2 linked regions of the Coturnix japonica genome follow. The protein of the gene in region 2 interacts with the protein of the main gene of each other region in a pairwise test. Links are inferred from orthologs where the notes say so. Each region holds a gene or a part of one and is shown on either strand. Other genes may lie near its edges.

Evidence for each region.
Region 1: the proteins of SRRM4 (region 2) and ZRSR2 interact in binary tests that used the Homo sapiens proteins (3 or more experiments, as listed by UniProt). The link is inferred for Coturnix japonica from reciprocal best matches to the Homo sapiens genes SRRM4 and ZRSR2.

The regions. Positions count from the first base shown.
Region 1 is NC_029516.1:109,796,528-109,811,905, forward strand, and holds the end of ZRSR2 (U2 small nuclear ribonucleoprotein auxiliary factor 35 kDa subunit-related protein 2), read right to left. Parts: intron 15,035-15,378; coding exon 14,919-15,034; intron 11,176-14,918; coding exon 10,962-11,175; intron 9,159-10,961; coding exon 9,103-9,158; intron 8,913-9,102; coding exon 8,803-8,912; intron 8,168-8,802; coding exon 7,686-8,167; 3' UTR 4,765-7,685; downstream 1-4,764. Other genes in the region: AP1S2 (AP-1 complex subunit sigma-2), read left to right, coding at 25-33, 865-912. UniProt on the Homo sapiens protein: Pre-mRNA-binding protein required for splicing of both U2- and U12-type introns. Selectively interacts with the 3'-splice site of U2- and U12-type pre-mRNAs and promotes different steps in U2 and U12 intron splicing.
Region 2 is NC_029530.1:8,638,631-8,654,008, forward strand, and holds part of SRRM4 (serine/arginine repetitive matrix protein 4), read right to left. Parts: intron 12,058-15,378; coding exon 11,914-12,057; intron 10,570-11,913; coding exon 10,486-10,569; intron 10,223-10,485; coding exon 10,151-10,222; intron 9,416-10,150; coding exon 9,389-9,415; intron 8,840-9,388; coding exon 8,789-8,839; intron 6,311-8,788; coding exon 6,218-6,310; intron 5,309-6,217; coding exon 5,158-5,308; intron 1-5,157. UniProt on the Homo sapiens protein: Splicing factor specifically required for neural cell differentiation.

The sequences.
Region 1 (15,378 bases), on a different chromosome or scaffold from region 2:
GCTTCATGACATGTCTTGTTTTAGGATGCTAAAGTAAGTTTATTCATACTCTGGATATTAAAACTACTTACGTTTCCGTAAAGACACAGTATCCCTTTTTTTATTTACAATTATATTGTTAATATCTAAGGTATCAAAGTACTTTTTTTAAACGAATTTAATTTATGAATTTAATGAATACAAAACTGATGATAACTCTCTGGAATTGTGTATGAAACTTGCTCTGACTATAAACAAGACTAAGACTAGAATTAATGTAAAATTTGGTATTCTACTGGGTGTAGGAGAATTCAATTTCAATCCTGCCAATTTCTCCACCCTGATCAGTTTATTGGTACCAGCGGTACCAAGGTATCTTGACTTGGTCTTGTGTAAATAAAGCATGGGGCCAGCATAAAAAGTCTTTGCTCTTCATAAAAAGCATGAGGGATACTGTATCTAAGTAGCATGGGTCATTTCATTCGTCCGTTTGTTCATTCTTCCCTAGCAGAGATCCGTGAAACAATTTACCACAAACATAACTGACAAACTTCATTGCAAGATGCTTCCCCATCCTTCCCCCAGTTCATATCTCTATTACCGGGTTGTGATTTGATCCCTGCTGGTGCATCTGAATTGCTTCTTTTTATTATGCTTCAGGGCAATAAAATCTGCCAGCTATTCCTGTGAACCATGGCAATCTAATTAGCAGCACTTTGAAAAGTGCAGCTAATGCCATGTTTGCAAACCACAGCGCTTCTATACTTTCATGTCTTTCAACTTTTCTTCTTTAATTAAGCATCTTTCATACTAACTCTCATGTATGGTACTGTTCAGTAGATGTGCAGGATCCATTCACCACTGTCTCAAATTTTCCCTCCTTAGGAAGCAGAGACCCCACGTAGTGTACTTGAAGAAATTGGATTGACATAAGTCTTCACTTCAGCTGATGACATCTCAGTGTTTCATACTGTAAATGTTCACTGCCTTCATTGTAATGTTTAGCTAATGGTGTAAGATGCTGTTTGTCAGTATTACTGTTTTGCTAAGCTGCTTCATTCAGGCCTACAAGGGAAATACTCCTTTGAAAAGGGAACAAGAAATTAAAGGCCAAAAATCACAAATGAAAGGGAATTGGATTTAAATTGACTCAGTGTCTCTTCTCACTGCATTTATAGGAAAAAAAGAATAATGCATTTAATTTCAGTGAGTGTACTGTTTTTATAAGCAAATGACTTCAGGAAATAAATGTATCATAGACATAGCATATCTAAATGAGAAGAATACATGGACACCTTCAAGTATGAAATATTGTAGAAATTGTGTTTATGCAACCAAAGACTTTTTGTTCATCTGCATTTTTAAGTCCGTAGTTGCGATAATTCTGCTTTTATTCAGTTAACATGTTACAATTGGAAATAACTGTTTACTTCTGAATTTGCCATTATACCAAAGAATCCTGTTAGGATCTGCATATCCAACTGGTTAAAACTGTTAAGGTGGCATTGCTTTTTGCAAGACAACTGCAAACTGATCATTTACTAGCAGCGAAAGTGTATTTACATGTAATTATCTTGATCAAAACTGTGCAAGTTACTATATTCAAGAGGGAATGCATGTAGTTTAAAAAAAAAGAAAAAGAAAAAAAAAATCAAAATAGGGAAACTATTTTTAAAGCAGTACTGGCTTGCTCTGACCATACACACAAGAGAAGGAAGTAGCCTTTTTGACTGTATAGAGAGGTATGTAATGAAAATAGGATACTTTTGAACATGGGAGCTTTACAAAAGGGAGTTTTTATGATTTTCTTTTGATCTTTACAAATTAATTTGTATTTATTCGTGTTTTGTAGTTACGCTTTAATGGGTGTATGAGCGCCTTTAAGAAAAAGTGTCAGCTTTATTTTGACTACTTTTCTTGGCTTACACCTTTCACACGTTGACACATCCCTTAAAAACTGTGCAGTAGAAGCAACTGATTTGCAGTGAGAATTTTGTATACTACGTTCATTGCAAATTGGGTAAAGTGAAATGGAAATAAGAGTTTGCCATTTCTTGCAGCCTCTCAGAAGTTGTACGCTAGAACTGTTTCACTTGAAGAAATTTCTTTGATGTATGCTTTTGAGTTCTGGGAAGGTAGTGGCACGCTTTGGAGTAGCAGAGTGCTACTGTGTGCATGCATGGTCCCTGAGAATGCTCAGCTTGCTTTCTTTCTCTTCCCATCCCAGGAACTTGACTGTAGAATTCAAGCAAGTAGCGCCATATGTGTTTTCACAAAACTTAGCTTTGGCATTGTCGCTGGAAGCAGTCATGTGGTGCTAGCACAAGCAGTTACACAGCCAGCTGTGGCTTAATCTAATCTAGACTAAATGTAACCCACCAGCAAAAGTTTGGCACTGACATTTGTTTCCTGATCCAGATCCCAGTAGAGGTGCTGGTGGCAGCAAAGGGGATGGTAAGGGCAGAGGTGGGCTGGGTCTGGGACTGCAGCTTCAGTGGCTGTTCCAGAGCGGAGCCTAAGAACTTGCAGCATGCAAATGTATCCATTTAAGCCATTTCTGGGATTAAAATATACCAGATTACTCGAGACCATGTTGAACTGAAGGCACACAAGAGCAGTTGTTAGCATTTTAGCCCTGTGCACAAGGGCAGGGATAGATGAGGTTCAGGTGGTGTTTGAAGGACCCTTGGTGTGAGACTGATGTTGTGAAATTACTTTAAGTCAAACCTGAAGCGATTTCCTGTGTATGAAGCATTTTTGAAGTTTACACTGTCACTTGTATGTGCTTGGCTGGGTTAAGCTTTGTTGTGATTGTGACAAATAAACTGTTTGACCTTTGTCGTACTGTCCCATTGGTTTAGTTGTAATAAATGTCCATTTTTACACCATTGCTTTGTGCTTATATGTAATTAGTTTGGATTTTCTGCAGAGGGGGAAAAAAAAAGAAGGCTACTCATTGCTAGTTGAAAAAAAGAGGGGAAATTTATTACAGTGCTTAACTTGCTCTGGAGCACTTTATTAAAAAATGTGCGAGAATACTGTGTCCAAGATTAGTTATTTACAGCCATTTAAATTCTACAGAAAGCAATAAATTAGCAAGTTCTTTGGAAGGCTTATCACACTGAACATGGAATTTATTAGAAAGGATGGTAAAGTGATGCCATAGTCCCATTTCATTTGAAATCAAACCACATACTGATTGAGAGAGGGTTCTAGATGATACAAACTCGCTAGCCAGCTCCTCAAGTGGAATTACGCTCACAATGTTAGAATCCTCAGTTCAGCCCCAGATTTCTCTTGGCTGGAAATTTCCAGCTTTCTAAAAGAACTGAACTTGATATTACCAGCAAAAGCATGGGGAAAGCTTAGTGTGCTAGGGCATTTCCTCAACCTAATGTGAAAGTGAAGTTTTGTGTCTTGAATTTCCTGTCCTAGCAGGAGACGAGCATAATGAGAAGCGAAAAGCATCTGGTAGTTTCTAGATTGTTTAGGTAAAGGATTGTTGGCTTGAATGTCTTCAGTGTAATCGTGGAATCTTTGTTGAAGAGACCTTCCTAACTGCCTGCCATTCCTTCTGAGTCAACGCCGTAGCGATGGTCACGCTGCGGCTGCCTTTGCCAGCTTACCGTGTTCATGGGCTGTGCCTGTACAACTTGCCTTCCAATCCGTCTCATAGTTTTCTGAACCGTAATTTGTCAAAGTTACCTTTTATTTATTTATTTACATGTCGGTGACAGATGCTGCGCTCAGCTGATGCATCAGAGCGGAATAAAAGGATGGATGGAGTAACAGGGAGTTATTTTAATTACAGCAAGCTTACAGTGAAAGCAAAATCAGTGGCGCTTTTTATAAGTGTAATTTACTTCCTTATATCATTTAATTTTTTGACTAGCATAGCCTTTCACATTTTGTAAGAAGTGCTGATTCAGGGCAGGAAGTAAGAACATCTCTGAGCAGGCTCTTGCATTTCTTCTGAAAGCCATTACTTTGCTCATCCTAAGGATGATGCTACTGGTACAGGTATATAAATACACTGAATGTGGTAATGCGCAGCTGAATCCGAGAAAGACATCCTGCTGAAGGATGATGTAATGCTGAAGAAGTTACTTACTTAAAATACATTTCAGACTGTCCGTTTACATGAGCAAGGGAAAAACCTTTGTCTGTGCTTGTTGCCTCTTCGTGAAAATGGATGCCTTCCATTCATCATGTGAGCGTGGGTGAGTCCTCCTGACACCTGTGTGATGATGGCTACTCAGCAAGCATGGCAACCATGATGGGAAGGGAAAAGACTTCAAAGCAGTCACCAGCACAAACCTGAAGGTATGCTGCCTTCCCAGGTGCCTGTGTGCCACCAAGTATTCATGCTGCTGGTGCTTAAGGGAGCTCCTTCTCCCTTTTAGCAGCATTCCCTTCTGCTGCAGGACACCTGCTGTCTTACTGTCTTGAAACATTTTGGGGTAAGCCCCTGGAGTTGGATGATTTTATGAAGTAGCTGGACTTCCACATTCAAGTTCCTGCTCAGGTACCTTACTTCTTCCATAGGAGAATGGTCAGAGCAGCACCCGTTACCCATCCTGACCTCCTCAGCTGTCAGGCCCTGGCAGGAGGGCCCAGCTGCTGCTCTAACCCCCTTCTTGCAGCTCTTGTGTAAATAATGCTTTCATCATCAATCCAAAGCACTTTAGTGATATTTACAAACTTCATAATAAAGTTTGAAAGCAGCTGCTTTAAGCAGTCATTCAAAAAATAAAATAAAAAATAAAAGCACAAATAAAGCTTGACAACTGTTAATGCACTTTATGTAGTCCTTCTATGTGGATCACGCAGAATAGCACAAAGTGAGAACAAGCTATTCCTTGCAAATCTAATCCATCCTGCATTGTTCCGGGCTTTTCTCCTTTGGAGAAAGAAGCTTAACGTTTAGGAATTTTAGTTCAGAGTAAATAGCTCACTTAGCTAATAAGGAAACAAAACCATGCATACGACACTACTTAAGATTATGAAGTATGGAAACAACATTGAACTATATGAACTCTTAACGTCTGAAAACTGGTTGAATTCCAGGTTTCATGCTAACAAAAGCAAGCAAAATGTCAGATCTAAAGCATTTGTTTCAGTGCAATAAGCAGACAGCATGTGAAACCGAACAGTTACAGCTATCAGTCCTACAGCACACAAGTACAGCCAGGGAGTTTGGATCCAGATATCAAGAAAAAAAGCTGAAGGTTTGACCATCAGAGTAGCAGAAATAAGGTACATTTAAATTTTACATGCATCTCTGAGCAAGTTTTATTATTAATATTATAAGAACTTTTTTTTTTTAAATACAGCCGCTCAACTTCCCAGATCCCATTACAAAAATGTGGGGAGAAGAAGCCTTGGAATTCTCACGTGGGTCTTAGTTGGCGCATAGTTCCTAATCCTACAGAGGTCAGCTTCACTTTTTTCACCCGGCTTGTCACAGATATCACAAAATCAGCATCCCACCACACCGGCCTTATCTTCTGGTCAAGCTTAGTAGTTTATTTCCTTCAGATAACCCTCAGCAGCAGCCTGCTGCATGGCATGGGCTATACAACACACTAGAGTGTGTGTTTTAGAATGCCAGTTGCAGGAAGCAAGGCAGCGCCAGTGGCGTGAGGATCTTACTGGCCTGTTAGCGATGCATCTCAGCAAGCAGTAAAATGACAGTTTAGCTGCATGAGTTTGCTGTACTCTGCATAAGTACCCCAACTAGACAAGCGAGCATCCATGAAAAAAATAGAAAACTCAGGGAAGATCTGCATGGTGTAGTCAGAAAAGATACATTATAAAAAACCGGTTGTCGCAAATTTCTCCCATATAGTTTGAAACTTAGTGCTGTCCATTGAAATACGCCTTTCGAGTGAAGTTACCTTTACTTCAAAAGTTATGCCATTGAATTACAGTTCCTACATCTGTTAATAACTAAAACATCTAAATCAAATTAACTAAGCTACCGTTCTGTCTACAGTTATGATAATATATAGTGAAAACTGGGTTTGAACTGAACAACAATATATAGCGCTTTTGTTGTATGACTCCATAGTGGACAACAGTTAAACATGAAAGAAGAAAAGGTATCATCAGCATGCTGGGTGCTATATGCATTAAGAAAAATAATTTTATATTACAATAACAATTTGTAATATATAATAATTTATATATTACAATATATATATTGTAACCAGGAGCAATGTTCATCTGCTCTCAACTGTCCTGGGAAAAAAAAAGAATGCTGTGAGAAATGCTATAGTGAGTTTGGAAATCCAGATTTTTGGTGGGACTTTACGCTGTATTATTGAATCATAACAAATATCTATTTGGGAGCATTTCACATTTGCTTTGGGCTTCTAACAACTTAGAGCTACCTCCTTGAAGGCAGGAATCCCAAATTCTCTAGAGAGGCTGAAGAGAGGGAGGTATCTGCACACAGATCAGGGCAGCTGCACCTTACATACCACAAACTGCTCTCTCCACAAACACACAGATGCCATAAGTGCCTAAGTTAAACACCTGATAAACCGAGTCCATTTAACAGCTTAAATCTTTCATTTAAAAGAGAAATATTTATAAGGACTGTGCTAATTGCAAGTACTTTGCTAACACAGCTGTCATTTCAAGAAAGCTTCATTGTAATAACTTCATTTTTATGTACCCCACTCTCTGCAGTGGCAGTAGGGTGCCTTAAACTGCTTATAATACAAGCCTAAAAGGGCTTCAAATCAAGTCCTCATCTCAGGAAAAAAAATCCAAAACCCTGAAGTATTATTTCAGGTATAAACCTTTCAGTTTCTTTAGCCACTCTGCAACATCTCTGCAGTCATCTTGAGCCTTTACAACTTCATTTGCATGTTTAGTGACCAGATTTAGACTCTCCCTACCGCTCCACCGCAGGTTAAGCAGGAGGTTTCCAACTACAAATGGCATGCAACTAAGAGGTATGAAAACTATTTTCTGTTTTCACTCCAGGATTACAAGTGTGTGGTCTCCTCTCTTACTTGGGGATTAAGGTACTAAATAAGTTGATTGTTTATTTTTTCTGTTCTTCCTACTTGGTTTTAGTCTACTGCAATCCCTACAGGCAATTAGCTCAGCAGCTCAGTCATGGGAGAGAAAAATCCAACACTTACGACCACAAAGCTCCTACTGGGCAACTATTGTACAATCAAACTGTGAAGTCTTTTTAGATCCCTTTTCTCCAAGCATAAGATGATTATATTACTTTGTCTAGAAAGAAAATTCCCATAAACATTTGGTAAACATAAATGGCTCTCTTTTACACAGTCTTCAGTTTGCAGTATGCTGTTGTGCGGATTTACAGCACACTAGCTGTTCTGTACTAACTCCTTACAGGGACAGTAAACACTTAACACACACATAACACGGGCATAAGCATATACCAAAAAAGCTTTACTTCTTTCTATTTTGTACTCAGTATGCATCCAAATGTTGCAGTAGTTCAGAGGGACAGAGTAGCTAGAGTACTTGACATTTACACCTTATATAGGACTTTTAATTTTCTGAAGCTTAGCACACAGTAAACTAGGGTCCTTTATTCGGAAGAAACGTTTTAATGTGCAAGAACACTTTATTTGTAACTCAAATGTATCTGGTGCCCTATTGGAAAGGTTTCTTTGTCAGCTCTACATTTTGATCAGTTAGCAATTTCTTAAAATTATTTCTCACTTTGTTTTGGGAGTTTCACTGTTTCTTCCTCTGCTGCTTGACCTCTTTTTGCCCCTACTCCTGGATCGAGAGGAACTCCGACTTCTGCTCCGACTGCGTGTTCGACTGTAACTTCTGCTCCGACTGCGTCCTCTCCTCTTTCTCCCTCTGCTGCGTGACCTCCTCCTTTCTCGACTTCTTGACCTGCCAGACCGGCGCCTTTTCTTGCTTTTGCGGCGATTCTTTTTTCTCTCAGATTCCCCATTTCTCCGGTAAGAATGATCTGGGCTTGGACTGCCCCTTCTCCTTGATCGGCCATAATAGTCATCACGATGGCTCGATCTGTTTCTCCTTTCAGAGTTTTTAGATAACTGATTAGTCCGTTCTGGAGAAACACGTATGTCTCTATTGGCCTCCCAGAACTCATTGTTTGGATTTTTGAATACATGAAGAAAGTTGCAGTGTTTCCCTCTTGGACACTTCTGCCTTTCAAATAAGCCTGCAACAGATATGGGGTGCTTTTTATGAACCAGACCTGTTAAAACTGCATTATGTACTTAATGGAAAGAAACTTATTGAACTGAATTTTGCTTCTATGAACAGAAAAACATGTACATGAGCACCTATTTTACCCAAGATTACTTCTATGTGTACTTTTCTTGGAATTAACTTTTTAACATATGTTTAAGATGGCTTTTTATGCTTTAGCTTGAAACAATTTTATAAATACTTTTATTAGCCTAAGCTGTCAAAGAATGTACATGGAGCGAAGTCAAGTGCAATAATAACTGCTGATGGTTGAGACACTATTGTTGCTTTTGAAAGAGATAAACTGCTATTTTCTGCACTTCCACCTTATGACTGTTATTATTCTGAAAGCTGGGATCCAAATTTTCTTTTCCAGTACATGGCAAATCTACCAGGATGATATGAACGCATACGTCATATGACAGAGATATTCCCTTTCCTTCCTAAATCTACACAAGCAAATAAGCGTATTTGTCTTTGAAAAAGAAATTAACGTGAACTGAAGCAGTGGGTGAATCAAAGCAACCACTTAACTCCTATTTTTTTCACTTCTAAGCAAACTTTCAATAACACACGTTCTATTTCCTGAGTGTTTATGCAACTCACCACAAATTGCAGTCTTCCACCTTGTCACAGGACAAAATTCACAATGAAGCTGCCGGCCTGCGTACCATCGGCCACTGAACAGAGCAAGAGCTGCCTGACAGTCCTTTTCCCTTTAAAAAGGAAAAAAAACAACAACCCACATAACCAAACATGCAGTGTTATTGCTGTACAATCGTTTCGGATGTTATTTCCCAGTTTTAAGATCTCATTACAGTATGAGAATAAATCATTTGGATTACACCGTTTTCATTACTGGACTCTGCAGTTTAGTTCTGCAACTTGGTAAGACTGAATACTCACGTCTGATACTGGACGTACACATTTCCTCGTAGGTGAGGCTCATAGTTGCAGCTGACCTAAGGAGATTGAAACATTACATTAGGGCAGTGGAAGGCTCATGCTATACAGCAACTCACACGCGTTGAATTGGCAGCCATTCCAATTTATGACAGCACATCAGCGTGAATTTGCACATTAGTTTCTTCTGAACACAGTTTTAGTCAAATACAAGGTTTAGAAAACAAAAAGATCTTCTGCTTTATTTTTGTATGTTTCCAGCATTTTGCTCTGATTGACACTGTGACCTCTGTTCCAGCCTACAAGGCAGCTTGTACTCAGTTGTCTTACACTGAAGAAGTCTGGGTCAACCCTACTCCACAACAACCAAATACAGTCATCCTATTCAAGATAAGTAACAATGTCAATGCAAGAACAAGTAAGAACGACATCATGATAGGCATGTTTGGGTGGGAAAAGAGAAGAAGCGTGTCTTGTCAAGACCTGCCAGATTCTGGACTAGCTTCCCAGAAAAAACAGTAAGAATAAAACCTTAGGCCATGTTGGAAATGGAAGTCAGTTGAAAGAGGGATGTGCGTTACATGAGTGTAAATGGTAGCAGAGACTCAACCACAGTTGAGATTCTGGCTGTCAACACATAATTTCTAAGCACCTCTAATAAAACAAGAACGCCTCCAAAAAATCAAATTAGAGTTGCACAATTGCTTCAAATGCTAAGAAAGCCTTGACTAGAAGCTCTTACCTCATGATTAGCTACAAGGACCCAAATACATGCAACGCAGCAGATAGCTGCATGTAACACAACCAAGATACTACTACCTTAAGGATGTGAGTTTGATGGTAAGACTTTGACCCTTGAGTCAAAGTATGGGGACGTGGGAGTGGATTCTCATCCAAATAAGTGAAGGTTTCTTAGAAAGGTGACTGAGAATTCACTGATTTTACTTAACTTTCCTCTTGCTTGAGATGCTAGTATAATCTCTGTCCTGAGGCAGTTGTCAATACAGGGAAACAAAAAGAGAAAAGGCACTTCATGCCTCCTGGTCACTACAGAAAATCACTTGGCAATGGCAAGCAAAAAGGGATGCTTCGCTAAGTTCTGTTACAAGGAGATTCTACCATCCGAGCTGTACATTTTAGTGCAACAAGGCATCATTCATCTCGAGGTCTATACTTACAAGTCCCTCATTTTTCCTCATTAGAAATCATAATCTTTATAAGGGGAAAATATATATGTATATATGTATCCAGAAACCAGATACAGAAATTAAGGGTGGATGACAAACCTCAACACCATTTAAATAGCATCTTTACAAGATGGCCAGTTCAAAGTAATTCTTGCTACTGAAGTATATACTACCTTTTAACTTCATTGTTGAGTTTATTGCTTCAGTTCTACAATGACACTGCTTGGGCGCATACTCCAAATGAGTTATCATCTTTCCTTCAGCATAGTTCTAAGTTGCACAGTGACAATAAGTAGCAATAACAGCCCATACATCTTTACGTCATGTAACAGTCTTAATTCACAGGCCCCCTGGGCTTATCACAGGCTAAACAGAGAAGGGATTATGAGTTACATGGACTCTTATTCTGTATGAATATCTGGCAGTATAAAAGCACAAGTTTTATAACAACTCAAGAGAATGGGAGAGAAGATTCACCCAGAATGCTCTGCAGAAGCACTGAGAAGTTTACAGGTGTCATGAAAGATGTACAGTTGAGAGCAGACACAATATAGATCCTCTGAAGTACATGGGATTTACCTAGACCATACTGCACTGAATTCCCTAAAGGCTAGTAAAACACAGCTGACGCGGTATATGTTCAGAATTTACAAGCTGTTACACTCGTATGCATACCTTGAATTGAACAACCTTCCCCACATTCTGAAACTCAGGGAGCACGTCCTCGTAGAACTCTAGGAACTGTTGATAGGTCTCCTCGTCACTGTACTCGAGGCTTGCATCGGTGTCGTAGTCATCCCTTCGACACTGCTCCATGCCAAAAGTAATGAACATCCCTCGCACAAGCAGTGTCTTACTAGATGTAGGATAGTTATGCTTACGGGAACACCTGGATGATAGTAGAGAAGGAAGAAAAATATTTGCACTTTTGACAGAAGATGCACTTGTTGAAACTTCGAACACTCACCATTTTGAAAGAGTTAGTACAAAAATAAAAATTCACTAGCAGAATATCAATGTATTTCAAGTATTAAGACAGATCTTTAGGAGGGAGGACTTTTACTGGTGGTGTTCTCAACACATGGGGAAGAAGAGATTGTGAAGAGGTGAGAGGGGTGCCAAAACAAAGGCATGTCTAGACTCATAGTTGGATGAGACTGACTTTTTCCACTTAGAGAGCTTACTACAAACAAGCCCTATCTAAAGTCTGCATCTTCTTGGCAGCTACATAAGTACTGGATCTCCCTCACTGTGCATCATCTTCAGGCTACCTCCCTCCCATGCTGAAATTCAGTTCTCCCCCACAGACCTTTAGATTCGCTAAGATCACGGATGGTAGACTCCATGTTTACTTCAGCATGCTTTATGATTGCTGTTTCAAACACCTCACAGACTAAGTGGATCAGATGCTCCCCAGCATGCTTCTCCTTTCTATGATGTGATCAGAACGACTGTCAAGACTAGTCTACTCTCATATTTAGCAGTGGCAAAGCAACAGAAAAACTGGGGGGGGGAGACCAGGTCTTGAAACCAGCAATTGCAGTCCTGCTGACTCATGTTCAAACAAAATGTCTAGTTATTAGAGCCTTCTTCCATTATCTCTTTGAAAGTGAAATGTCTAGGCTAGTTAGCCACTCCTCCTGCCAAAGCTGTTCTTCATTTTTGATCACCTTATTGTCCTTCTGTGTTCTTGCCTTTTACCACTTTTCCAATACAAAGCACCCACAGTAATATACAGGAATCAAGAATGAAAGTATCACAGATTTAACAGTAGACAAAGAAGAGAATTCTGGAGACTACATGCTTTTATTTTATTTTTCAAAGATGCAGCATATGTAAGCTAATCAAGATGAAAAACACCATCTGACACGCCAGGCTTTCACTAAAAGCAGAAATCAATTGTATTCTGCCCAAATACATTAGCCAGAGCTAAAGTAGAAATCACTTTAACCAACAGAACCAGAATGTATCATCAGTATCAACAGCATTGTATTACATGTATTACAGTATCAACTGTAACATTGCTTCAATTCCAGCCAGGCAATGGTTTTGTCTAGTTCCATCATGAAAAACAGAAACCCACCCAAATAAATAGAAGTAATTTATCATAAAATCATAGAATGGCTTGGGTTGGAAGAGACCTCATCAAGTTCCAATCCCCTCGCCACTGTCAGGGTTCCCAACTGCTAGATCAAGCACTAGATCAAGCTACTCAAAGCCCCAACCAACCTGGCCTTGAACACCTCCAGGGATGAGGCATCCACAACCTCTCTGGGCAACAAATTCCAGCACCTCGCCACTCTCGTAAAACTTCCCCCTGAGATATAATGCAAAACTTCTCTCCTTTAGTTTAAAACCATTCTTCCTTGTCCCATCACTATCTACCTGTGCAAAAAGTATATTTCCTTCCTGTTTATAATCTGTCCTTAAATACAAGAAGGCCATAGTGAGGTCTCCCCGCAGCCTTCTTTTCTCCACTGAGCACATCCAGCTCCTTCAGTCTATCTTCATAGGAGAGGTCCTCCAGCCTCCTGGTCATCTTTGCGGCCCTCCTCTAGACCCTCTCCAAGAGTTCCACATCCTTTATGTGATGGGGGTCCCAGACCTGGACACAGTACTCCAGAAGGGGACTCAGAAATTAGGAGGGGAACAATCACCTCCCTCTCCCTGCTGGCCACCCCTCTTCTGATACAGCCCAGGATACTGTTGGCCTTCTGGGCTGCAAGTGCACACTACTGGCTCATATTAAATTTTGCATCTAGAAGATCGCTATGTCCTCCTCCACAGGGCTTCACTCAAGTTCTTCTCCCAGTCTGTATACATCCCTGGGATTACTCAGACCCAGGTGCAAAACTTTGCACTTCACTTTGTTGAACATCATTTGGTTCACATGGGCCCCCCTTCCAAGTGTATCAAGGTCCTTCCAGATGGCATCTCTTTCTCCTGCTGTATCAATGGTACTGCCCAGCTTGGTGTCATCAGCAATCCTGCTGAGGGTGCAGTTGATCCCATCATCTATGTGATTGATCAAAATGTTAAAGAGTACCAGTCCCAACACAGATGCCTGTGGGACACCACTCGTCACCAGCCTCCACCTGGACACAGAACCATTGACCACAACCCTGTCTGCAACCTTGCAGCAAAAATTCCTTATCCAGCAAACAGTCCACCTTTCAAATCTATATCTCTTCAATTTAGAGATAATGACGTGGTGAAGGACCATGTCAAAGGTCTTGTACAAGTTAAAGTAGATGCCATCAGTTGCCTTCACTTTGTCCACCAATGCCATTACTCCATCACAGAAGGTCACCAGATTGGACAGGCACAACCTTCCCTTGGTGAAGCCAAGCTGGCTGTCTTGAATCACTTGCTCATGTGCTTTAACATGTCTTCCAGGAGGATCTGTTCCATGATCTTCCCAGGCATAGAGGTGAAGCTCAACAACCTGTAGTTCCCTGGGTCCTCCTTCCTCCTCTTATAAATGGGAGTGATGTTTCCCTTTTTCCAGTCACCAGGGACTCTGACTACTGCCATGCCTTTTCAAATATGATGGAGTGGCTCAGCAACCACATCAGCCAGCATCCTTAGAACTATGGGATGCATATCATCCAGTTGCTTACTTCCTATGCTGCATGCACTGGTATAGAGGCACTTTGGTTGGGCTTTCAGACATATTACCTTCCTAGAGGACCCCTCCCACAAACACCTTGGTCAAATCCGAGGTCTTCCCCCACTGCTTCCTAAAGTAACAGTGTTCCCTGGCTATCTGTCACTCAGTAGTACACCCACTCCCATAGCACTAGTTTAAAACCCCGGTGATGAACCCAGCCAGCTTGTTGCCAGGTATATTCTTGCCCCTCCTGGTCAGTTGTGTCCCATCCCATATCAACATTCCTGGTTTGTCAAAGGTGTGTCCTAGATCATAGAACCCATAGCCTTCAGCATGACACCATCCATGCAGCCAGTCATTCAACTGATCCGTTCTCCTCCTTCTCCCAGATCCCAGTCTCCATCTGGCAGGACTAAGGAGAACACTACCTGCATTCCTCATCCCTTCAATATCCTTCCAACTGACATAACGTCTTCTTTGATATTTTTTTAATTTCCTGATCACAGCCTCATGCAACCCAGCTTGAAAGACGAGCAGGCGGTAGCAGTCAATCGACTTTATAATATCTATTATCTTCTTCTTGGTGTCCCAGATGTGGTTCCCAGAAAGCAGCAAACCTCTAGTCTAGAGAGGTAATCCAGGTGGTAGATGGATGCCTCAGTGCCTCACAGCAAAGAATCTCCTTCGCCTGTTTTAGTGGCACCAGTCATGACTTGAGTCCTTGGTTGTACTTTCTAAGGTGATCAGCCCTTTTGTATCCACGGGGGGGTGACCCCACTTCTCCCAGCTCCACCCTCACCACATCAGAGCGCTGCCGATAGGGGAAGGTTAATGGCTCCCTCAATCGCTGAGGCAATCCCTTGCTTTGGCATGGAATGTGCTTACCCTAGAGACAAGTGCCTCACAGAAAAGGCATCCTTTATAAAGCAAGATCAAGATTCTTTTCAGTTTGCTCACAAGCTAATGAAGCTGCCTTCCACCACTCAAAAAAATTCATGTGCTGGTAATATTCAATTGATTACCTGTCTCCAAATCGGCAGGAACCTGTTTTGATATAAAACGGGCAATTTGCTCTATCCTTCTCTGTTCCTATATTCTCCGGGGGCTCTGGGTTATGCCAGGTCACACCATTCTCCAGCTGTGGAAAAAGAAAAAGCATTGAAACAAAATTAAGAAATGTTTTCTTCTGCTAAACAAAGTTTCTTAAGATTTCATAACCCAAAGAACTGTAGTAATAATTTGCTCCTCGGTCAACTATTTCATTTGGAATCCACAAGAATAATGAATATTTTGACAGGCTCTTCCCATTCAGCTAAGCCTGTCTGGTACTTCATGCCAGTATGCACTGAGCAGCACTTTTTACATCTGGCAGATAAAAATACAGGACTACTTACTTGCCTGCCTTTGCAACAGCTCAAAGCTCAGTAATTTTATCGCTGTCACTTTTTATGCAGTTAGGAAACGCTCATATAAAAGTAACCT
Region 2 (15,378 bases):
GAAGAGCGGGCAACATAAGTCCATCATTAGAGTCTCAAATTACATGAAAAAAACATAAACCCTCTCTTCAATCCACACTGCCAACTGTTCACTTGACTCTGCTACGTAAATGTCACAACTGCTTTTTGTCTGCTTGCTTCTCTCACTTACTATTCCTCATTTTTGTTTCCTTCTGCTTTACATTAGGCTGCCCAGACAGCTCCTGGGGGCTGACAGCCTGTGCTGGAAAAGCATGGCTTGCACTCAATCCCCTAGGGTTTCAGGGTGGCCCACGGGTACTTGGAAGTGGCAAAAGGAACTCAAGCAAAGAAGTCAAAAATAAAGTCGAGGGGGAAGCTGTATTTCCCCACTGTGGCTGTACTGGAGAGCTACGGGAAGGGGATGATGGTTTTGGTGGGCTGCTGAAGCTGACAGGTCAGAGAGGAGCCTACAGCCGTGCTGGCTGCCTTGGCTGGGGCTGTCAGCTGGGACCCTGTACATCACCGGGGGATTGACATCATCTGAATGTCTCATCTCTTCAGTTTTATCTCTACTGGCATCTACCAGAGCCAGTCCAGCACTGGTCAGCGAGGCGACTTGAGTGCTAGTGCCTGCCCTTGTGATGGGGAGCGTTGAGGACAAACATGGACCTAGCACATCTGCGGCCTCCTCCAGGCCCCAGGGTTTGCAGCACAGGTACTGCTCTTTGCCACTTCTCTGCCAGCTCTCGTTTACTCCAGCAGAAGTTTACTCCAGAGATGTCAAAGGAACGTAACAGAGCTGGGAGTCTGGCCCTGCTCTGTTTTGTACCCAAAGACATGAGCGACGTGGCCTCCACAACCAGAACCACGATCTCACCCCAAACACATCCCATAAAATACAAGACTGTGCTTTCACACGGTACCAGATTTTTTCTCAAGATTATGGCTTGTGTTATACCTGAACCCTGACTGAGAGGCAGCCAGCTTTTGGCAACATTTCATTTACGGGCATATAAACCACCATGTGAAGTACTCCCTGGCTCCAGAGGTTGGAGTCTGGGGGTGGGCGTGTGCATCTCCCTCACCTCCATTCCCTCCCAGTCCAAACCAAACAGCCTTTAGTTCTTCCCAGCCAAGAAATCCACCCATTTCTTGGCATTTCTACCCCTGGGACAAAGGATTGCTAGGAACTTTTGTTTTGCTTTTGTATTGAAGTAACAGCTGCTGTCAGCGCATCCCAATATCCACCCAAGGATCCCCCCGTGCCTCTCTGTATCTCCACCACTGTGACAGCAGCATCCTGGGAAGAGGTAACATGGATAGAAGTGGAATATGTCCTTGTGGGGGCTGGAAGGGCTGGCTTGTGGTTTCTGTCCTGTGCAGGAGGCAGGACAAGCATTGAGGTGCTGGACAGAGCAAATTCCCCCATCCGGTGACCTTGGCTTTGCCACACAAAATGAGAACCACGAGCTGCATCTGAAGATGCTGCAGAGTTCCATTGAATTCTAATGGCTTTTTATTTTTCTAGGGTGTCTTAAAAGAGTCTGGTTTTCTGTGAATCTAATTTTCTCTATGTGAACATTTGGCTTTTCTCCCCCCCCACCCCCTAAATAAGTTATTAAATAATCTCAGTGATTTCAGATTGAGACATAGTGCTGCCCTCAAGAGAACCCAAGATACATATTTACTGTTTGGGTTTGTTATTTTTGTGTTTCAAATCATTATTTAAGCAAGGTGAAGGGACGAGTGGAAACGAGGCCCTGATGCTTCAGAACGTAATGCTGAGTGCGCTCCTAGATCAAGAGGCGGTGCAGCCTAATGGCTTACAACAATACAATCACTGCTCGTCTTCCAATTAAACTGAACGAGTTCATTTACTGTGCTTCAAACAGCCTCGAGGAGAGACAGGACTATAAATTTTCTCAGCCATAAGGGGACCGAGGCCCATCAGCGAGCAGCGTGGCACAGACTCGCTCATCGCCAGAGGGTTTTTCTCGAGTCTTTTTCTCTGCTTTGAAATGAGTTGCAAAACAAGAGTTAATTTCTTTTTCAGAAGTGCATAATGTCTCCCTCCCTCTGTCTGTCCATGCATTGTACCAATGAAAGGCACACAAAGCTTGCAGCAGTGACCCCTGCTCCCTGCAGACAGCTGCCACCGCAGCACCTGCTGCCTTGCCGGGAGTGGGGCCCAGGGGGCTGCCCTTTAATGGGGAGATGGGCTGGGCTCTGCTAACCCTCTGCCTCAAGGAGGCAAACCTCCTCTCCGCCCGCTGCAGTGAGCACTTCCAGCTCAGTTTGGGCTGGTCTGGCACAGCTTTGGGATGAGGGTTCGCATTGTGTTGCCTCCTTTGGGTATCCGGGGAGCTGCTTGGTCCCCCCATGGCTGCACACTCTCCTGCCTCTGCTTGAGCACTGAGCTGCAAATTTATCAGGTGATAACCAGAGGTACATTCAGTCCTCTGGCTGGGAGGAACAGCAAAAGAGAGAGGCTTTCATGTTTAGGAAAGGCTTTGCCTTCCAGCTCCTGAAGAGCCCTGTTTGTCATCAGAAACACGGCGTGCAGCAGTTAAAAGAGCAGCTTTTCCTATAAAAACCACAACCCAGGCTGGAAAACAGAGAGCAAGAGCAATGCGGCCTGCAGGCATGCTATCAGCCTCCCCCAGCCCCCCAGCACACACTGTCCCCATCCCTGCACTGTATTGTCCCACCTGTACCTCCCTGCAGGCACACCAGCACAAGTACTGCTGCTTGGAACAACCAGACCCCACTGAGCCTCCCTGAAAATTTGGGTCAAACCTGTGTTAATTAGTGACATTGCAAACGAGCTTCAGTGAAAGCAAAGGAGCTGGCAGGGAAGGTAGATGCGGTGTGCAGTTATCTTCATCAGGTACAACAAAAGGCAATTAAGCTCACACCCTGCAGTTACTTATATTGCTCTGCTCAACCAGAAGCACAAGGGCATGGAATATATCCGTACAAATGCGGAACAGTGTCTGCAGCAGGACGGGGGGTTGCTGTTAATGTTCAGATATAGCAGCAGCGTATTACCAGTTCCTCTGCATGCTGAGGCACAGCCTCACAATCCTCTTTCTCAACAGGTGCCTATTGTGGCTGCGTGTGATTAAAGGAAAAAATGTGTGTGTGAAGCTTGGAAATTCATTGCTCAAAAGGAGCAGGGAGCTCTGGGGTGTTTTTGCTTGTGTGCATGCTCATGCATGCGCCAACTTGCACATAAAGGCAAGAGGGGAAGAAGCAGCGAGGTGGATGCATGGACAGGGAGCAATTCTGTGTGCCTCATCCCTCAGACTGCAGGTAAGCTGAGCTGGATGTGATCATTCCGATAGAAAAGAAGGGACAAAATGCCTGGAGACAACCCACAGAATGCTTCCACTTTTCAGAAGAAAATAGAACAAAATCTGGCCTAAAGTTAAATAATTTTTAAAACAGACTTGGAAATGCTGTAGCATTACCTGGAGGAAGTCTGTGTCTTGCCTGTCTGGGTGTCATCTGTGTGTCAGAGCACTCCCCGGACCATCACTTTCCTTTGGAGATATCACGGTGAATCTCCTCAGGTCAGGAGGGTTTGGGTTGGAAGCCCAGGCCAGGGGTTGTGGCACAGAGAATGTGTGGCATTAGCAGACAAGACTGAAAGCTCCCACTCTATTTTTCCCTGCTGGTTCTGAGTACATGATATTTAAAGACCTTATTCAGCACTTTACCGGGGCATTCAATTTAAACAAGTACATAAATGTGCTCTTGAACAGTGTCCCAGGAGAGCGTACTGCTTCCTGGGAAGAAAGAGGACACCAATTGACTGCAGAAGTGAGGTCTTTTTGCCATTGGTTTCTTTGTGTTATTAACTCACGCTGACCTTTGCTGAGTTGACACAAGGAAACACCCCAGGCCGATGGCAATGAAAGCTCTGCAGCTTGTCCTTTCTTTGCATGTGCTGCTGTAAGGACACACACGTAAGCACAGCATGCAGGTTCTGCTACTCGTGCTCTGCCTTACATGGCTTTATAAGCAATGACTCATTTGTGCACTACACACTCAGTAGGTGTATATGACAGGAGTAAATATATGTCTATGACTCTGGGAGACGGCTTGTGTCTGTCTGTATCCATATACGATCTGTGTGTACAGTGACTGAAATGCCAGCTGTGCAGGTGAGCAGAGAAGGCGCCTCCTCTTGCTGGGACTATCTCCTCTATCTGCAGTATGGCTCAGCTATTTCCAGTTGAAGACTGGGCTTAAGGGGAAAAAGTCAGTCCCCCACTATATTCCACTTCAGGGCTCAGAGGACTCCACACAAGCCGCTGGTAGCATTCCGTATCCACACACAAGCACCAGGTCCTGTACTACCTCAAGTCTTATGTAGAACTGCCCCTCTCCAGAACACCCATCAGATACTAACGCTGATCAAAGAGCATCACACCTCTGCTTGGCAGCTACTGGGAACAAGGAGGAAATGTTCCATGGGAAACAAAGATTTCATACCAGTCGCTATCTAAGATTTCTCTCCATTTTTGCTCCCTCTGTTCTAAGGCACGCATTATATCGTCTCTTCCCATGTATATGGAAAAACATCCCAAGGCACTGAGACTGACTTTACCCTCGGCTGCACATGCAGTTCCCATTAGCATCAACGAGAGCTGCACACAAGCTCTCAAGTTGGCCCCTGGGCTTGTCAGTCCAGAGCAACAGTGATCTCAGAAGGATCCCAATAGAAAACATCCCCTGCCAATAATCACCAACTCACTAAATGCAAATATTTCCTTTATATACGTCTGATTCCCTTTTTTACCCCTGAAGGACTAAACTTTCGGACATGAAGACCGATGAATTAAGTCCATGTTCAGCTGAGCAAAGACTGCATAACAAACACATCCCTGTGAAATATCATCGCTGAAGGCCACAGGTTTTAATCTTTTCTTTTTTTTTTTGTCCTCAATTCATTATTCAGAGGCTAGAGACTCGGCAAACCTTTCCCCTCTCCAACCCCACTCTTGAGGAGGAAGTGCTGAAGGAAGGAATGACTTTAAATACATCTGGAGAACAGCACCATTAATAAGTAATGCTGCTTTAACCAGACTTCGTCTAACATCGCTATAATCGAGTTATAAAAATTACATGGCAGACTTCTCACCCATATTCCCATGGCTACTGAAAGCAAAGAAGCACATTGTGTAATACTTACGACTTCCTTAGAAGACAGGAAGCTGTGCAGTGGGAGGGTTTGGCTGGCCTGAACCTCTGCAGAGGAGCTTCTCTTTGCTGGGACTTTTGCATGGTGCTGGGAGCGTCTCCGCCGTGCTTTACGCCCTTCCTCCCGAGACCTGGCTCTGCGCCTCCAGAAAACATGCAGAAGCAAAGTGTTATCCTCAGCATTGCAGCAGTGCCCACCAGCAGCTGCATGCAAACCCTTGCCTTCTCTGTGGAGTCAGGGTGGAAAGAAAGGGAATATTTTGCTTTAAAAGCATTTTAGTTTGCAGCCAGGAGATGCGTGGTGGGTTTTGGGTTTTAATTTCATCTCCAGTTCCTAATTTTACAGTGGCTCACAGCTTCCACGCAGCCTTGAATATCCCTATGGCAATATACCTCCAAGAGAAGACACTGCGCCTGCATGAACTTCCCACCTACTACTGGTTGTGTTCCTCCCTGCACTGATCGCCAAGTTTCCATGAGAAGTTTCTCAGTAGTTTTCTAAGTGGAGTGGGTCAGAGGGAGTGGTTTGTTCATAAAGCTCTTTAAAACAGCACATAACAAGCTCACAATGTGCATAGCTATTCAATTTGCTATGGCAGTGATGCGGGTCTTGCACCAGCATCCACTCAGCTGGCCTCGGGATGCATCTGTCATCTACAGGAAAGAGATTTTAATCAGGTCACAGATAGTGGCCATAGGATGCCATTGGCAAATACATTTCCATTGCTAAGAACAAGCTTGAAGCTTTCCTCGGACATTGGCAGTACAGAGCCCTGGGCTGGGGAAGGCAGACTGGGCTGAAGTCAGCTGTCACTGGCTGATCATCAGCCATGGGGATCAGAAGTGACTGTTGGGCTGAGAAGATGCAGCTACCACTTCTTGAGCCCAAACCCTCTGTTTTATGGCTGTGACCACAAGAAGCTCAACTCCCAACTGCCAGAGTGGGACATGGCTCTGCCCAGAGGGTCAGCAGGGCACACAAGACACTGCAGTCACTACCCTGATCCACTGCAGTGCTGCAGGGCAGCCAGTCCTGTGAGTGGTGACATTACCTGCTCCTGCAGCTCGGGGAATAGGAGTCAGAGCTCTCTGAGCGAGAGTGGCAGCGGCGGTGGCGGTGAGCTTTCCGGGTGCGCCCACGAGAGCTTTGGGAAGCAGAAAAGAAACTGTGGTTAGACAGCAGACCCAGGCTGTAAGACCCAACAGTTGGAGGCCAAAGGCAACGGCACTTACATCAGAAACAAGATCAGCATTTTAAAGCAAAGGGATTGGGGCGTGAAACATTGCAAAGGACACAAAGGCGTGAAAAATTCTCCATCCCTTCACGGCTGCCCTGACATCAAGACATGTCATCTTACTGAGATCTATGCTAGCATTTAGCTACAAGCTGTTAGGTTGCCTCTGCGCCCTGCTGGAAGATCTATGGACAAGTGCACAGGAGAGCAGCAGGCAGCACCAATCCTTTCTTCTTTAAAGACCCAGCAGAGCTATGTCACCCACTCCCCCCTCATCCTGCAGCCCACCATGACAGCCCAATGCTAAGCCCTGTTTGGGGAGCACCATCTGTCTGGGCAGCCCAATGCCAAACTCAAACCATCCCAGACTCCCCATAATACAGGATACTGGGTATCAGCTTTCCCCACCTTCTCAAGATAAGAGGGTCCAGCCAGTCCTATAATCTGCTCTTACTGTTGTAATAAACATGAGACAGCCTCCATAACTGCAGCCTATGCTGTGCACGATTTCTGCTTGAGGGGACAGGACCATTTATTTGACTTCTCATAGGTGCCCAGTTGCTGCCACTCCATTCTCTTACATGGCTACAGGACAGGGACCAGCAAACTGCACACAGACACAGGTTCACTGTCCTGCTGCTTTTCCCCTTGCTCTATTTGGGTTGTTACAGTTGGACTTGGCCCCATAACCGAAGGGCTGGGCCTGTCCTTGCCAAAAGCCCCAGTCCTGCACTCGGGGAGCAGGGTTATGTGAGTGGCAGGCTCTGAAACCTTCTGTGCTTGTTCCTTCTTGTCATGCCCAGTGCCCACCTCAGCAGCTATTTTGGGTCTGGCGTGTAACCATCTGCTCAGCCTGGCACTGCTGTGCCAGCATGCAAACCTGATGATGGGTTAGTTGACAGGAACAATCTGGTTTCATGGCCATGCTGTACCAGTCACTGACACCGTTAACATACCTGCCTGGACAGCATTTAGCAATGTGGCACCATAAAAAATCAGTGAACCAACTGCCTGAGCACAGCATCTCCTCCAAAACAAAAGGGCAACAATGAGGGCAATTGCTTGAACTCTGCTTGGCTGTCTTCTCTGATGCTGTTTATACACTATGATTGGATTTCCAGCATTTCACATTTGGGGAGCTTCCTTCCTTCTGCATAGTTGAAGTCAGCAGCACTGACTGCCTCTCCCTCCTTGCATGCTTTTTCTTCACCTTCTGTATCAGTCCCTCCAGTTTAAGAGCTTTTCCCCCATGTTCAGGAAGGACAAACTGCTCCCATGCAGTTTAGATAACAAGTTGTTCAACCCACGGATAAGCCAAACCCTGATTCAGGTTGGCTTATGGGAGCAACGGGGAGGCTTGACGAAGCCAGGAGCTTCAGTTCTGATTTCTAAGTTGAAAGATGAAGACTAAGGAGCCCTGGGGGGGTTCATCCCCAAAGAGCAACCCCAGAAGCTCTCATTCCCCTCTGTCAATGCACTACTGCACCCAGTCTCTGTTCTAACCACGCTGCTAGGCTAATGCAGGCTGGCCAATACTGTTGTGAGTGGAAGGTGCCTTCTAATACAGATAATCAAGGAAGTCTCAGCTTTATCAGTGATCTATAGGATTTCTGGGCACACAGCAGCTCAGTTTGCAGGAAGAAAATGGTGAGAACACGCAGAAATGCAGAGAAAAGGAGATGGGATTTCTGCATGCAATAGAGGTGGAGGTAGCACCTTGTGGATTCTAGTCCCAATGGGCAGCAGGGTGACACTAGCAGTGCTAGGGGCTCTTGTCCTTCTGTTCCCTTCCTAAGAATAAAGGTTGTGCTGGGAAGAATTACAGGACAGGTCATGCTAACGCCAAATAGACAGCAAATCCTGGTCTGCCAGCTCATCTCCTTTCCCTAACAGGGTATGCTGAGTCCCAGCAGGGCCAGCCAGGGGTGTGATAGCCAGGCTTCAGCCCCAGAACTGCTTCTGTGCTCTGAAAGCAGGTGAGAAGCCACAGGTTGCAAAATGGAAGTATTACAGCCTCTCCTCCTGTCCCCAAAGAACCATGTCTCATGCCATGCTCATGTCTGCTCCTTAAGACAAACATTGTGCTTGTCTTCTGCACACATCAGAGCAGATGGGAACCTCAGCTCCCTATTTCAATAGTTTCCATCACCTCTAAACAACCCCTTCTTTTCCCCAGCCCCCATTGCTTTCTGCTCCCATTTGGATATTTGGTTATATCACAAGCAGTCCCTGTATAACCTCTGCAAGCAGCAAACAAAGAAGAGCTAAAGCCCCTGTCAGTGAGAGTACACCATTGTGCAGAGCTGGGTCTACTACTGCCTTCATCAGAAGAGCTGGACCTTCTGCTCACAACTGGCAGGGCAGAGAATATTGTGAATCACTACTTACTGTTTTTTGTGTTTTCTTTCTTCCTTTCTCTTACTTTTGGGGCTTGAGGAACTAAATAAGAAATGGCTAATTAATTTGGAGATTTCTGTTCTGATTAAAATAAATATCAATATATCGCACGATCACACATCAACATTACAGCTAAACTGCCCAAAAACATGCAATTAAAAAATTGAAGGGCTGAATGTTTCTGACTCGACACAGGGGGTCTCAGCTCCTGCTGAGAAACCTGGTTCATTGGCTGGGACACAGTGCCTGTGGGATCAGCCAACCTTCTGGCTTTACACTTTCCCATAGAGAAGATACATGCACTGGAATCCGAAGAGTTCTTCCAGCATGCACCTGGAAAGGCACTGGGTTGGAATATTTCCTCACTGCTGGGGGATGTGTGCTGTTTGTAGGTGAAACCATAGGAAGAATGAAAGCTCAAGATTCAGAAAGTGTCCAACGTGGACAAGGTTGTGAGACCCACAGGGGATGGGGGGACCCAGGGGATTCCACAAAGAGTCATAGAAGTGGCTCCGCACCATGAACATCAACCTTGTGAGATCCTGAGGAGACCGTTTCTAAGGGATCAACCCACACGTGCTCAGCTCTTACCTGTGTCTTCTCTTCTTTGAGGATAACCTGCAAGACACAAAGGTGCACACTGAGTACAGCGTCTTACAAAACTGGAAGTCTGAATCTGACACAATCTGGTAAAGTCCATCTTGAGGCTGAGCACTAAGGACACAGTGCACCAGATGTGTCCCATCTGAGCTCCTAGCACAGTATCCCATAGAGCACCCAGCATGAAGTCCTGTCTAGAATGGCTGTGAGATGGCTCAAGGCAAGGCCAGTTGGGATCTGTAGTTGAGTGGGATCTCAAAATGACCTCCATTGGTCACTAACACACAGTGGTTGATCACGCTCCCTTCTGGGATGAACCATAAGCCTATAGTTCATCTTGCAGGGGCACAAATGGGTACGACAGGTGTAAAAATGATGAGCATCTGACCTGAGATGGATACCAGGAGGTGCCAAATATAGCATAGCATAAGAACCTGCTCTCCGAAAGGATATATTTTACAGGTATTTCTATCTCCTTCAATTCTCCCCCCCTTCCACCTTTTCCCATAAGAAATAAGCGCTGCTTTTCACTCTGTTCACCACTTTTGGTAGCTTCTTGCTCTCATTCAATAAATTATAAATACACGAACTCTCCCAGGGAGATGGCATCCACTGTTCTCTGCAAATATTGGTTTAACAGCTGAGAGAAAACAGTGAAATATTTGCAATTCCAAAATTTTATCACTCTCTTTAAATTAAAAACCAGCTTTCAGAACCTGATGCTTCCCCGCAACGCTTCCACAGGAGAAATACCTGTTTCTTTTTCGTTTCTTGGAGCTCTTCTTTTTCTTCTTCTTCACAGGCGAGGGGCTGTAGGAAGGAGACCTGAGGGAGCAGAGAGGCATCAGGGCCAGCACAGCCCTTCACCCCCAGGGCTGCCCACCCTGAACCCCACCACCAGGCCTTGGGGCTCAGGCAGAGCTGAGGCTGAGCCATGTTCTGGGCATAAGGGGAGGATGAGAGGATGGCCAACAGATCCCCAGCCCCTCACACCTCTGTTTTATACCCGTTTTGTTCCTTCATGCACCAGGGGCTGCAGGATGCACTTCCCCATGAGGCAAGGCCCAGGCCAACATGGCCACCCTCACCTCCGTCGCTTCTTGCGGCTGGATTTCTTCTTCTTCTTCTTCCCCCGGGCCGGCGGTGGTGCACGTTCACCATCACACGATGGGCTGCAGAAGCCAAACAAGACTGTAAAATAAACTGATAAAAGCACCATCGGAATGACCTCACTTGGGGTTGCCCACCTCCACGTGCCACCATCCCTACCTGAGGGCCAACCAGGACAGATCAGGGCACCTAATTACCCTCTAATTACCCTCACTTGAAATTAAGTGCCTCCTCCGTGGGTTTAATGGAGATATAATGAGGCAGACACTGTACGTGGCTGCGACGCCAGCTGGTTATTTGAAATGAGCTTGCTGAGGTTAACAACTCCATGACAGATTTATGGGTTTCGCTGCTTTGTAAATATGTTTTAAATAATTAATTGGCATTTGATTTGCATACAATAATTATTGAGACCGAGTGAATCTAATGGTAATGGGAGACATGGCAAATGTTAAATAGCAATTGATTAGAAAAAATATCTATTTATTGACATGCTACGGTGATTTAGTGAGATAAGCATCTCTTACACAGCGGTTAAACTTGGAGTGGGGGGGGAACTGTCTATTAATTTCTTTTTAAATTGTGCTATGTTTCAGCAAAAAGCAAACGGCAGTTAATGAATTTGGAGCACTGGGCTGGAAATGTGAAATGAATGAGGGTTGGTGACCCTAAAAAAAGGCAGTGAATGATGGAAACTAGAGCACAGGATCCATGCCTCAGCATCCCCACTGCTCATCCCACTGGCTGCAGCTGCCACCATCAGGACCTCGTGGTTGAAAAGCCATCCTCACAGGGATGTGGGCTCCAGCATAGCTCAGCCCCGTCCTCATCTCGTTCTCCATCATCATCCCCTGCCATGTCTGTGCCAGGGCATGAAGAACCTCCAGGCTGTGTGCTCAGCTATAGGCAGCCTGCCTGGAGCCCTCCCCCTGCTCCCAAGATGAAGCCTTTTGTCTTTGAAGTGGAAGCCTCCTCCCTGAGCTGATCTAACTTTAATTGTTCCTCTGTGATTGTAATCAGAGTCTAATTAAAAATACACTTTAGATTACTGTTCCGGTTAGCCTGACATCTGAAGATAGTAAATGCACTTTCTGTCTCTTTCTTTCCAAGCAGAAAGGCCTTAAATCCCAGTTCAGCAGCAAAGGCTGAGACCCCAGCTGCCTTGCTTAGCAAGCTTCGTTCATTTTTACCCTTGCAAGTTGTCAGGGGCTAACAGTGCACAGATAACAAAGCGATATCCTAGTTAGGGCAATGCTGCTGCTCTGATCTCAGTGTGGGTGATGGGAACTGCTGAGGGTGATCCACAGCCAGAGGGGAACCCAATGTGCCCCAACCCCTGACCAGATCTAACAGCCTCAGCAGGGATGGGGATGATGAACCTCACGGTGGGGTGGTTCTGTCCCTACCTGCGTGACCTGTGCAGAGCAGGGTTGCGTCTCTCCTTCCCTCTTGCCCAGCCATTGGTGGTGGAGGTCTCCTTGGACACACAGCTGCTCAGCTTCTCAGGACGCCGATCCTCGGCAGAGTATGGCAGGCAGCTGAGCGTCCCACTGCATGGCAAGAGGCCAGAAAGAGCAATAAGAGAGCAAGAAAACAAAGGGAACCACCTGAGCCATGCAGGTGCCTGCATGAGCCCCAGGGAGCCCACATTGAGTAGAGCCCTGCAGATATTTGTTTCAGAGAATGGAAGCATTGATGGAAAGCCATAAACCATACCCAGTGCGGCACTGAGAACACCACATTTTTGGTGCCACGCAGAGTATTATATAAAGAAATAAAGGAAGTATCAACAAGGCCAAGCCTGGCCAGGCATTTGGTCTTTAGAGACCATCACAGCCACCAAATGTGGGCTGCAGGGCCAGGATCAGGAGTGGTGCACATCTTGGGGGTTCAGTGATGCCAGGAGGGAAGCTAAAGTGCAGTTCCATGGGGAAGCAGCACATCAGCCCCAGCTAGCCGTGGCCAGAGGCTTGCAGCCCCTGGGAACTTTCTGCCTGTCCCAGTCATGAGAATCACAGTTCTGGGGGCTGGAGCTGGTGCAGAAGCATCTGTCAAAGTCAAAGAGACTTAATTCCTATTTCCACCCATGTTCTCAGGAAATCCCCACCTTATCCAACAGCCCTTTCTTTCTTGGAGCACAGATTGCAACGCCTGAAGGTTTAGGGATGAACATTAGGCAAACACATATGCTGGGGGTCAGTGGGATGAAGCTGGAGGAAATATTTCCCACACAGGTGATGCTGGCAGATCCAATGGTCCCTCCATCTTTACAATCTATTACTCTGCTTGTAAAAAATTTCCCAGTCTTTTCCCATCATCCATGTTATTTTTAATCATCCAGGAAGCTACATGGTTAATCACTTACTTTTTGCGAACTAATTAGCTTGTGGCATTTCCCAACCCCCTTTTAAGAACAGTCTTTGGAGGCTCAGTCATTAGGATCCATTAAAAATGTCCCCAAATTAATGACCTGTGCAAAGCTGGAGCAGCTCCAGTGGTGCGGATGGGGGCTCTCCCTGGGCACAGTGGGTGATGTCCCCACTAATGGCATTTCAGGTCCCGCCGTTGAAACACATTAGCCTGAAGGCAACCAAGGGCTGCTGTCCTGCAACACGCTGGGGACCATTTCTTCTGGGCTTGGAAGTAATTATTGATGGAAATAATTATTCTCCAATCCCATCAAAGGCTGGCTTCAGTTCAACCCAATACTCTCCTCTGGTGAAAGCTGAGAGTCACTAACGCTCTAAACGGGCTGGTAATCCCTTTGTGTTAAGCTCTACAGACATCGATTGAACAGAGAGATTCAAACATATATATATTTTTTGTCATCTTTCATGGGCTGGGCCATGACAGCTGGGAGAGGCACGGAGGACAGGGCAAAGGCACAGAGTGTTTGCTGCCTTGGGAGCAAACCGTGGCCGTGTACCCATCACTGTGCACATCACCATGGGCACATGCCATGCCATCAGACCATGAGATGCAGCGCTGGGTGACACAATCCCCTCCCCTGTCCTCAGGCTCCTGAGTCCCTGAGCCATCTCCTGCCACAAAGCTCTCATCAAACGGCCTTTCTCCTGCAGCTCCTCATCGCTGGAGGACTGAGAAGCTGAAAAACTGCCTTCCTGGTGAACCTTGTTTGGAGGGCACAAGCAGAGTTGGGTGCACAGAATCATAGTCATGGAGTCACGAAGGTTGAGAAAGACCTCTCAGATCCTCAAGCCTTAAGCCCAACCCACCCCACCATGCCCATAACCGCATCCCTCACTGCCACATCTCCACATTACTCGAACAGCTCCAAGGTTGGTGACCCCACCACTCCCTGGACAGCAGTGCCAGTGCATCACCAGCACAAAGACATGCACACCCACAGCCCTGGGACCCCGCTGTCCCACACCCGCTGTGGCTGTGCCACACTCCTCTCAGAACACATCCCTCTGTGCAGAGGAGGCTTTCTGCACTGGTGAAATCACCCTTTCCTTTCTCTCTTGCTTTCTGCCTCTTCTCAGTTGATTGAAAAAAGAAAATGGTTGACCCGGCAGAAGGAGGGGGGGAAAGGAGAAGGTTGTAAAGAGATTTCCACGCCAAAACTCATGCAGATGTGTTTACGTAAATCCCTTTGAAACAGGCTCTAAAAATACTTCTTTAAAATTACGAGGTGGGGGAGGTTGTAAGTGCTTTCCACAAACACAGCCACAGAACCAACCGCACGGCAGGTTCCTTCCCCGCCTCATCCAGACCGCTGTTATTAGTGCAGCAGGAGCCCTGTCGTTTGTTATTGGAAATTATAATAGCAAATCACCGCGATATTCTCCCTGATTGCACGGATCCTGAGCCAGTTCAATTTTAATCTTCTCTCCACTGTTTCCTCGTGCATCAGCAGAGGCACCAGCTGCAGAAAAGCGCGTGGCTTTCTTGAAGCAGCTTAAGCACAGAAAAGAAACACAATTCCATAATAGGCATTTTTCATCCAATTTTTGCCTCTGTGGCTCACCCCCCTCTCACACCCTTGCATCCTGCTGCAAGCCCAAGCCCAGCAGCAGCTCCTTTTTGCTTCTTGGCCTCCAGAAATGTTTCACGACCTTTCTTATCACAACCTGGGCCAAAAAAGCAGCTCGTCTCTTCATTTTTTCCGGCAACTGATTTGCTATGCATGGCTGTGTAAGAACAGAGGTGGGTTCCCACCGGTGGCAGGGCTGGTGCCAGGTGCTCCGAGGACACTGCATGGTCACAGCCCAGGGATAGGGATAGGATGGGGTTTGGGGATGGGCTTAGGGATGGGGATGGTAAAGAGATGAGGGTGGGATGGGGATGGAGATGAGAATCAAATGGGGCAAGGATGGGATTGGGATGAGGATGGAAATGGGATGGGGATAGTGAAGCAATGAGGATGGCAGCAGCGTTCAGAATGGGGAGAGGATTGAGGATGGGATGAGGAAAGGGTTGGGAATGGGGATGATAATGGGCACAGAGATAGGAGTGGCTCCATCTCCATCATAAACTCCCGCTGCAGGCAGCTGCTGGCAGCACTGGGGCAGATGTCCCCCCCATAGCTTAGTGCTCCAGTCCTGATGAGGACCCTGCCTTCGGGTGTCCTCCTCCCCAAGATGTTCCTTTCAGGGAGCAGCCCTTTGCCTCTCCTGTTCCTAAATCTCCCTCCCTGGCAAACACCCTGCAGGTTCCCACACCTGGAAAGGTGACAGTGATGTCAACCAGCTCCCATTCCCGCACCAGGAAGGGCTGTGGGTCCTCACTGCAATTCCCTTGCCCAAAGTCCTGCTCTGTTGAGCAGGGCAAATGGCAGCAAGATAAATAGTTTATTTGCCAATAACATAGCTCGTTAACTTCTAATTGAATCGCGGATTGTGAGCACA